Drosophila melanogaster: one gene and its partner. Changing the gene in region 1 together with any one later gene gives a genetic interaction. Each region holds a gene or a part of one and is shown in the gene's direction. Other genes may lie near its edges.

Region 1 (4,248 bases):
TGTCTCTCTGCCCGTCTTTATTTGTATGAAAAGTTGTAAATTTTCAAGACACGCTGACGTTCGAGCAACCTGGTCGCAAACAACGAACTCGTGCACGAACACATATACACAAATACAGTGCTTTTCAGATTTATAAATCGATTTTTAGACATTTAATAAAATTGAAATGTATATGTAGAAGGTCGCAAAAACTTTTTCGAACCTAAAAATAATGAAGTAAGAAGAAAAGTTTACAAAGTTGCACTTTAAGAACCCAAGGGTTCTTGAACGCGTAAAAACAAATTAACGTTTGAACTTGATTAGTAATTCGGTTTCTGCATTTCAAGCATTTCATTATTGGAATAACTTATAGAATGCTGTAACCTATGGGCGAACGCCACAAGCTCCCAAATTTAACGAATTACTCATGCTACTTGTAATGGAATGTCATAAATATTACAATAAGGATCGGTCTTCGCCAGGCAGATATGTACTGCATGCATTAAGTCTTGTTATCACATGGCTGGCTTTGATGGGCTTGGGAGCTCGCCTTGCCCATATGCTATCGCACCGCACTGTACCTACGCCGGGTATTTACATACATCCATATGTATATGCGAAAAGAGGTGGCAAATAAACACACTACTTATGATATGATTAATCATCAATGAGCGAACCAACCAAACGGTAGAGATCGGCACACATACCAAAGCATAGACTCGTCGCGCACTATGTTGCAGAAGTCCGTTTCGATGGTCTTGATCTTGGAGTTCAGCACAATGCCATCGTCCTGCAGATCAAGGTTCCTCATCAGGGCGATGATGTGGTCGTAGGCATAGCCACCTGTTTGATTTTGATAGGCGGCGGGGCCAGTGTTCAGGATGGTACAAACATCCCGGAGGCGCGCTCCCGTTCCCTCACCACCGCCCCCGCTACCGACACCACTGTGCGAACTGTGACCACTGTCCACCGCACTGTTGTTGTAGCTGTTGTTGCCGTAGGAGGTGGTGTTGCTGCTGCCACCGCCGCCACTGTTGCTGCTGCTGACCATGTTGTTGGCCATTTCCATTTCTCGCCGCGATCACTGCCGTTTGTTGTTGTTATCGCACGGTTGTTTGTCTGTCCCTTCCACACACACTTCAGTGTCTGTTATATTGGTACGCGCGTGTGTGTGAGTCGTCGGTCCACCAAATAAGAATCAGCGTTGACAAAGGTGTCGAAATGCGCACGCCAAATGAAACACCTTTTCGCTCAGCTTCCGCTTTGGGTGCAGGTGCAGTTAGCTCACTGGGACCCACGGTCGATTGAAACGCAAATAACGAACGAAATTAAATGCACAAATTTATAACTATTCCTATTTATTATTGCTATTTGACGACTTTTAAAAGAGGTGGAAAAACATCGATGTGTTGTGTTCTTTAAAACATCGATGTTTCTCCACCTCTAGATAGCATTGTCGCGATATCGAAAGCACACGGTGTGCTTTCGTAAATAGCGCCACAGTGCTCCCGCTGTTATCGATAAGACCACCATGGGGCTAAAGTACGGAGCATAAGTAGCTGGATTTAAGATGGATTGGCAGAATAAAATATGAAATTTATATCCACAGTATATCTTAAGAAGTAGGGTTTAAAAAGTATCCACACATACATATCTTTCTAAAATTTAGGATGAATTTTAGTTTCAGTGGCTGAGTAAGCGTATTTGTAAACATTATTTGTTGTTTCGACTTAAGCCAAGTTAGTTAGCAATTAGTTTGTCGTGGAAATATCTATCAGCTAACAGTTATTGTCTACAATCGATTCTTGACAAATACTGGTGTGGTGAATTCCGCTCATTGGAGCATCGTAAAATCGCCATCAGTCAGCTGTGTTTCGTTGGGCGCGCAAACTGTTCGGCGTGCGTTTATTTGTTGTTCTTTTGTAATAACTATTTTTATGTAGTTATTTGTGCCAAAAATGTTGAACTTAAACTGCGTGATATGCGCCGAATTGTTTGGCCAGGCCGACGAGGTTTTTGCCACAGTTTGTGGTCATATGTTCCACCACAACTGTCTAAATCAATGGCTCGATCGGTAAACAACGCATAAGGATATTTCTGATTCCCGACAATAAAATCAAATATCTTTCGCAGATCAAAGACCTGTCCTCAGTGCCGGAATAAGTGCACTACCCGCAACATATTTAGGGTCTATTTCAATCTGGCCAACTTGGATGTGAGCCACATCGATGTTGGTTCACTGCAGGAGCAGCTGGACAATGCGATGTTGTCCATGAAAATGGTCGAAAAAGAGCGCAACAAGGATGAACAGCAGATTCGGGATCTGAAGGAAACACAAAAGAAGTGCCTGTATGCTTTTGTATACACATTGCCTTAAGTACCAGACTGATGCATTTCTCATTTGCAGCAAAACCATAGCCGGTTTGGAGCAGAAGGTGCAAAAGAAGGATTTTCTCATCAGCAGCTATGTCGAGCAAATTGGCGTCCTCAAGAGTGATGCCCATGTCGTTGATGGGTTGCGCAAGGAAAACAAAACATTGAAATCACAGATCCAGAGTATGGAAGGCATATCGGCTATTCTGGCGGCTGGCTCGGCGGATGCCGACCGCTTGCTCAAGAACGAGGCTGATCCACATGTCCTAGCCAACTGGGTGTCCACTCTCAAGAGGGAGTTGCGACAATGCGAGAGCAAAAAGACGGAGCTCAGGAATGTAGTGAAGGTGGTGCAGAATGATCTGCGAAAGGAGATCGAACTAAAGCGGTATGCTCACAACATTCCAAACGTGGTTTTTATAATTGATATGTGCTCATTCGATTGCAGCAAGCTGGAAGAGCGTGTTTCACACCTGGAGAGCGACCTTTACCAGGCGCAGGAGAAGGTTTGCTGAGCCTTCTTTAACACAATTTCGATTAAACATACTATTATCTTTTCAGCTACAAGCTTTTGAGAACAAGACCGCTTACTTGGACTCACCAAATGCCTCTTGTGGTCTGAACAGCAACATTTTGGCCCTTAAAAGGGAGGAAAGGCGTACCACTATTTCCCCTACAGTTGTGAGTAGACACGAATAAACGAAAATATAAGCTACTAATATTTTGCTGCCCTACAGAAGGAGAATATTAAGCGCATCGAAGAATCCACCTCCCCATATCTCAACATTAAATCCAGCAGCGTCGGGTTGGCGCATCTTCTTAATACTAAGGGTAACATTGGGCTGGCCAAGTCTAAAATATCGCCCATCAAGGGAGTCGGTGGCGGTGTGTCTATGACCAGCGGAACCATACGGAAAACCAGCAGTGATCTCAGTGAAAAGGTAAACGCAATAATTTTGCCGAATTCCACTTAACCATTTAAAAATTCCGTATATTCCCCCAGTATTCAATCTTCAAGAAGCCAAGACTGCTGCTGGGAAGTTCAAGTAGTTCTGCGTTGACGGCCACGACGGGCTCAAATTTTGTCTACAATGGAATGGGCGGTTCTGAGAAGGTTGACCCCTTTGCGCAGCGCGCCGAGGAAGAGGGTCTTTCCACAATCAGATCCTCGACCGCCCTTTCCCGGAATGTCAACCAGCGTCTTAAAGCCGGCTCGCTGCGCAACTTTAACCTGGGCAAATAAGTCCACAGCCATGTGATCATAAGAGACTGCCCCAGTTGGGTATTAGCACGCGATTGGTATTGAGGATTGCCGATTTTGTTAGTTAGCCAATGCATGAATTAAGCAATAGTAATAATTTAGCAGTAAATATATAAAAATACAAAAGGCATATGTGTGTGCGATTAGGCGGCAATTTTTTTCTCCGCCGTGCCCGTCCATTCCTCGCGCAAGTGGACACTACAGCCGAGGTCGCGCAACGCCGCCTTGATGTCCTGCTCCACACTGGGGTGCTCCTTCATTGCCATATTTAGTAGATCCTCAACGCCGAAGGAGATCCAGGTTTCACACTGGTTCCGCGACCGTGACACCATATTGCGGATGGCCCACGCTCCGTTTCGCTGGACTATCTTGTGTTTGGGATGGGCGCGAAGAGCCTCCACGATTACTTCGGCGATGCCGGTATCGAAAAAGGCGGCACTGTGTTCCTGCACTCGGAGTGTCAGAGTAGTCACGCAGGCCAAAGCGGCGGCAACGATGTTTTCATTGGACTGGTGCGTCTCTAGCAATTGCTTTATTATAGGAGCCACGCCCTGCTGTACTATATGTGACTTCACGGAGTCTTGGCCAGCCAGGGCACGTAGCAACTTTAAGGCCTCTCTATTTAGACGCACCTC
Region 2 (4,826 bases), on another chromosome or scaffold:
GCTGCACCTGTCGTTTGTGCAATCGAAAATTCTCAGGAAGGCAAAAATGATTTTAAACTGGCTCAACCAGCAATTCGAGCTTTTGCGCATGGTCAATGCGAAACCTTACAGTTTTGGCTGACACATTTCGCTTGATACCTTCATATCCGGTACTCATGGAGCATATCAGCATATAGCTTGCTACTACCAAAAACATTTTGCAGAATCACAAGCAAATCTGTCTTGGCTACAACTCCAGTAGCAGCGTGTAACTTTGGGTCACTGAACTACACTTTTGTTAAATGTCAGCATAAATGGCTAAAATGAAATACACCTTACAAGCTCCTCCTAACCAACTTGTTCATAATCCAAAAACTTCCTGTTAGAGTAGCGAATTCAAACAGTTGGCACTTTGTTTTTTCGAACTTGACATATGTAAGCCGATCGGCAAATTATCGCGAAAATGGGCCATTCGAATCGTAAAAGTGATGACCAAGCCGGAAGAGCACAGACATTATGGTAATCCAAGAACCCCCAATAAATGTAGCAAGAAACTGCCTCTTTATAATAACGAAAGAAGCTAAGCCTTAATTAAATCCCAACCCAGTGGGATGCGGATTTGGCCAGGTGAGGAGCTAACAGCCAACTGGCTTGTTAGCAAACAGTAAAACGAGCTAATGACGTACATCTGCTGAAAACCCTTGCACTTTCTCCTCCAGCCAGTTGTGATGAAGATGGCAGACTCCCATGCGTTTAGCACCATGAAGATACTCCGCTAATAGCCATTTAGCACATGGCTTAATCTTACCGTACAGTTTGTGTGCCATATGAATATGCTATGTTTGCTATAATTAGGTGCTTTGACATTTCGAGAAACAAGATCTGCGCAAATTATCATATTTGGCTGATCCCATCGATCTGAGCAGCTTTCAATGCCAATATAACGATATTGGCTCAATTGTTCTGGCAGCATCCGGCTGGAAATGGAAATGGTGGTATTCGATGGTGGTGTTCGATGGAAACACCTACCCATGATGGCAATGCCAATTTCGCGGATTGCCAGCCAGCCGGGTGCAACTGTCTCATTGTCCCAGTACAATGGCAACGGAATATGCATATGCGACGACTCCCTGCCCGCCTGACAGGTACAAAAATGCTGTCTGCCCCTTTGGTGAACTTCATTCATGCCCCGGATCGCAGCTCGGATTGCATTGCATTGCAGTGGATTGCAGTGGATTGCAGTGGAGTGGAGTGAGCGGCCAAAATCGCGGCAACATCGACTAAAACATTTTAATAAAAACTTACACAGCAACGGCTGCAGTGCAGCTGAAACAGAAAAGCAAACACAAAGCGAGCGACAAGCCGAGCCGAAGCCCCAAAACTGGTTCCTGGCCTGGCTGGCTAACTCTAAGCCCGATCCACGGCTCCAACTCCTATGAAAATGCAACATGGTGGTCTCTTACATATTTACCTTTGACTTAACAGACGCTGTTAGCCGCTCGAGATTCTCTGTCCGCGCAGCATACACATATACATATGTACATAGCTGTGTATGTACATGCACCTGCAGATCGTGGATCGCAGTACCTGTGCTCCACAGCCGAAGCCTTTCGCATGTGTGTGTGTGTGTGTGTGTGTGTGTTTGAGTATGGTGTGGTATCCATCAGCTGGCAAACGAGTAACCCCCGAAAAACCAGTTTTACCGCAAAGCGAGCGAATGCCAGCTCAATTCCAATACGTTCCACCTTGGATCGGGTAGCGCCCACTTGTTGCCGCTGCTGCGCGAGACAGGTAAAGCGAAACAGTACCGATCCAACCGCCGAGCCGACACCACGTACCACGTACTTTCGCGCAGTGTAGCACGACGAGTATGAGCTTGTGCCCCAACGCAGCGCTATTGCTATAAGGTGGCTGGCGCGATACCGGTTTTCGAGCTGGTATGAATATGCCCAAGAGCTAATTTTTTAAGAGTTATCTCTCAAGAAAATGTGTAAAGTTCAGAATGGTCCGTTTGTGGCGACGTGTGATGTGTGGATGTGTGAGGTGTGTCCGGTGGATCCAAGGCAACCTAAAGCTGTAGCCATAGAAGCCTGAAAAGGGCATACCACGCAGATATCTCGAAATAGCGCTCCGTTTAAATAACAAAGAAGCCCCGAGAGGCAAACAAAGCCTTCACGCCATCATTAAATCTAAAAATCATACCTTTGTACACACCACTTTAACCCCCGAGAGCAAGACTTTCTCTTGCCAATTTTTCAGTTTTTTTGTTTACCCAACACAACTCACAGTGGAGTGAAAACAGAAAACAAACGAAACCATCATCGTTTTGCCGAATATCAAAGGATAGAACACTAATGTGGAATGTGAACGTGATCGCCGTATTAAGCAAATCGCATTTATCGACCGGGATTTCTGCGGCATTTGCCAAGAACCAAGAAACAAGCAATAAAACAGCCAAAAAAAACAAAAAAAAAACGGCAAATGAGGTCACGTATGTCGAGATTTGTGTAAGAAACTTACACAGTCGTGTTCACTGTACAGGCATACGTAGATAGTCATCGACTTGCCATGCTACTTTTACTACATGCTACCAAACTCCCACGCGCCGCTTTGTTCGCCAGCTTTTCGCGAAACATTATGGCTTATAATTAATCCAAGAGGGCAACCTCCAAACAGTAATTAAAATTCACTTCAGTGCGGCAAAACTCACTTCCAAGCCGGTGATCCGGTGATCATCAACTTCGAAATGATCAACTTCGGATTCAATATGAATTTTATGACAGAGAAATACATAAAATAAGTATTACAACACCTTCAAATTTGTGTCGCGAGTGTTTTTAATCGAGTTTAACCCTGTTTTTTAATGCGCAGATACAACATCTATTGAATAATATAGTAAATCGAAATGTAATTGAGGACCAAGAATAACCTTTGTTAACGGCGTGTGACTCCATTTTTCACGTTGGATACTCAGCTGAAATACTTTGAGCTGCTTTAATATTTAATCTTTAGACCAAACGGTAAGTGCGGAGTATTATTAGTATTATTATTATTAAATTATTCAGCATCCAAAGGCGGGGAGAAGCAAAATGATGAAATAATGTTCTTTTCTCCGGGCGGCGGAGATTAATCTTCATTTGGCTAAATGGCTAGAAGCCATTTATAAAGCAGAAAACATAATCACCTAACCGTTTTTTCTTCAGCGGAAAGTCAGGTCGATTAATTTTATTGTCACCCAAGAATTTGCAGTTCAATGTCTTTGGCCATCATCTAAATTCAAAGATTTGTTTTTAATTATTCTAAACTCAACTTATTTTGGCCAATTAAGACAATCATAATGGTAGAATGTTTATGTTACTCAGCAGTTGCTTAAGTTTCGTTAGACGTGTTCTCGATAAAAAGGCGAATCATTAAAATTAATCATCAGGAAAAATGATTCTCAGCAAATTGGCTCTAAGATACTTGTCGAGTTCATTAGAACGATTAGAATGTTAAAGCACTTTGAGTCATTAAACTCGACAAATGGCCATTTTGAAGACGATCATATATTTACTCCCACAGGAGTCATAAATATATGGACAGCCAAAATGAATGGCATAGATTGAGATACTTTATATGCTGATAGAATTCGATATATATTATGAAACATCTCACGGATCCGTGAGGAGAAATACTTTGTATGGCCAAGAGCGCGTCCTCTGTCCAATAAAATTAAAATACAATAAAACACTCAGCGAATTAGCATAACAATCGCAGTTGGAGCTGACAGAACGATGGTGTATACATGAATGTATGTATCCAGGTGATCCAAGTGATCCGAGTGATCATCCAGGGGAGCCGAGTGGCCAGGTGGACCAGGGTATGCCGCCATTCGGTGCCCAAATGCTGGCGTTCCTTTCTTGTTTATTTAAGATTTGTGTGGCAACCATCGTTCGCATTCCAGCAGATTTGAGATTTAAGTTCGCTACGTATTGTACCACATTCAAAACTAGAAAATGTTGGCAAAAACAGCATCAATAAGCAACAGGTTTGCCGCATATCGAATCTGCACCCAGCAGCACACAACACACACAACACACACAACACACACAACACACACAGTACACAGGCATTCAAAGCGATACCTCGGCTTTCGTTTATTTTGCAAACCAGTTTGGCACATTCGGCTTTTTCTATAAGTTTCCGGTTGAACATAATCAGCAACTGACTTTCTGTGGTGGCCACCGCCGAACTCCTCCTCTGGCTGCTCCTGCTCCTCCTGCTCCTTCTCCGATCTCCTCCAGCTTCGCGCCTTTGTTTATGCGGGGGAAATGGAAAATGGCATTTTGTGTACCGTCCAGTGAAAGCGGAGGACTTGCAGCGCTTTTCGCGATTTTCCCGATTTTCTCGATTTCCTCGCAAATGGAAGCAGGAACGGCACGACGGAGCATTTAAGCCCCCATATCAATACCATGTGATATCTCGCACTTAAGTTACGCAATGGGCGATCGGGGCTTTTATGATTTCGGAGATAATTTCAGCAGCAGTTGCGTTTGCAGACAAGTTTGATTCCACTCGCGATTGCAGCACACTTTGGCGAAATTAAATAAATCGTTGGGAAATCATGGGTATTTTGATTGGTTTATTTGGCTAATTGCGTAAATCGAATTGCAATTGGCCATCGAAGACAATAGTTGTCAGTGGCGGCTAAGGATAAGAGATCCATCAGCTTGGATTTTAATTGTCAGCCAATAGTTGAAATTCAATAATTCGCTTTGTTCATTAGAGCGCGCACTTTATTCCCCTATTTTATGAGTTTCGGTTAACCAGCACAACGGAACCCGGCTGCTCTGGACAGTGCTATCTAT

The links. A genetic interaction does not mean that the proteins touch.
Region 2: of nopo (region 1) and Cad99C, changing one suppresses a phenotype caused by changing the other (phenotypic suppression), as found in Drosophila melanogaster (one study listed by BioGRID).

The regions. Positions count from the first base shown.
Region 1 is NT_033778.4:18,178,785-18,183,032, forward strand, and holds nopo (no poles), read left to right. Parts: upstream 1-1,832; 5' UTR 1,833-1,937; coding exon 1,938-2,053; intron 2,054-2,112; coding exon 2,113-2,328; intron 2,329-2,386; coding exon 2,387-2,740; intron 2,741-2,800; coding exon 2,801-2,858; intron 2,859-2,913; coding exon 2,914-3,033; intron 3,034-3,089; coding exon 3,090-3,293; intron 3,294-3,355; coding exon 3,356-3,595; 3' UTR 3,596-3,735; downstream 3,736-4,248. Other genes in the region: CG5726 (uncharacterized protein), read right to left, coding at 687-1,048; CG5721 (uncharacterized protein), read right to left, coding at 3,757-4,248.
Region 2 is NT_033777.3:29,839,875-29,844,700, forward strand, and holds the start of Cad99C (cadherin 99C), read left to right. Parts: upstream 1-1,782; 5' UTR 1,783-1,916; intron 1,917-2,850; exon of another isoform or gene 2,851-2,999; intron 3,000-4,826. UniProt on the Drosophila melanogaster protein: Cadherin that functions in epithelial morphogenesis and the intestine epithelial immune response. Essential for female fertility. Regulates the length and organization of apical microvilli in developing follicle cells and salivary glands.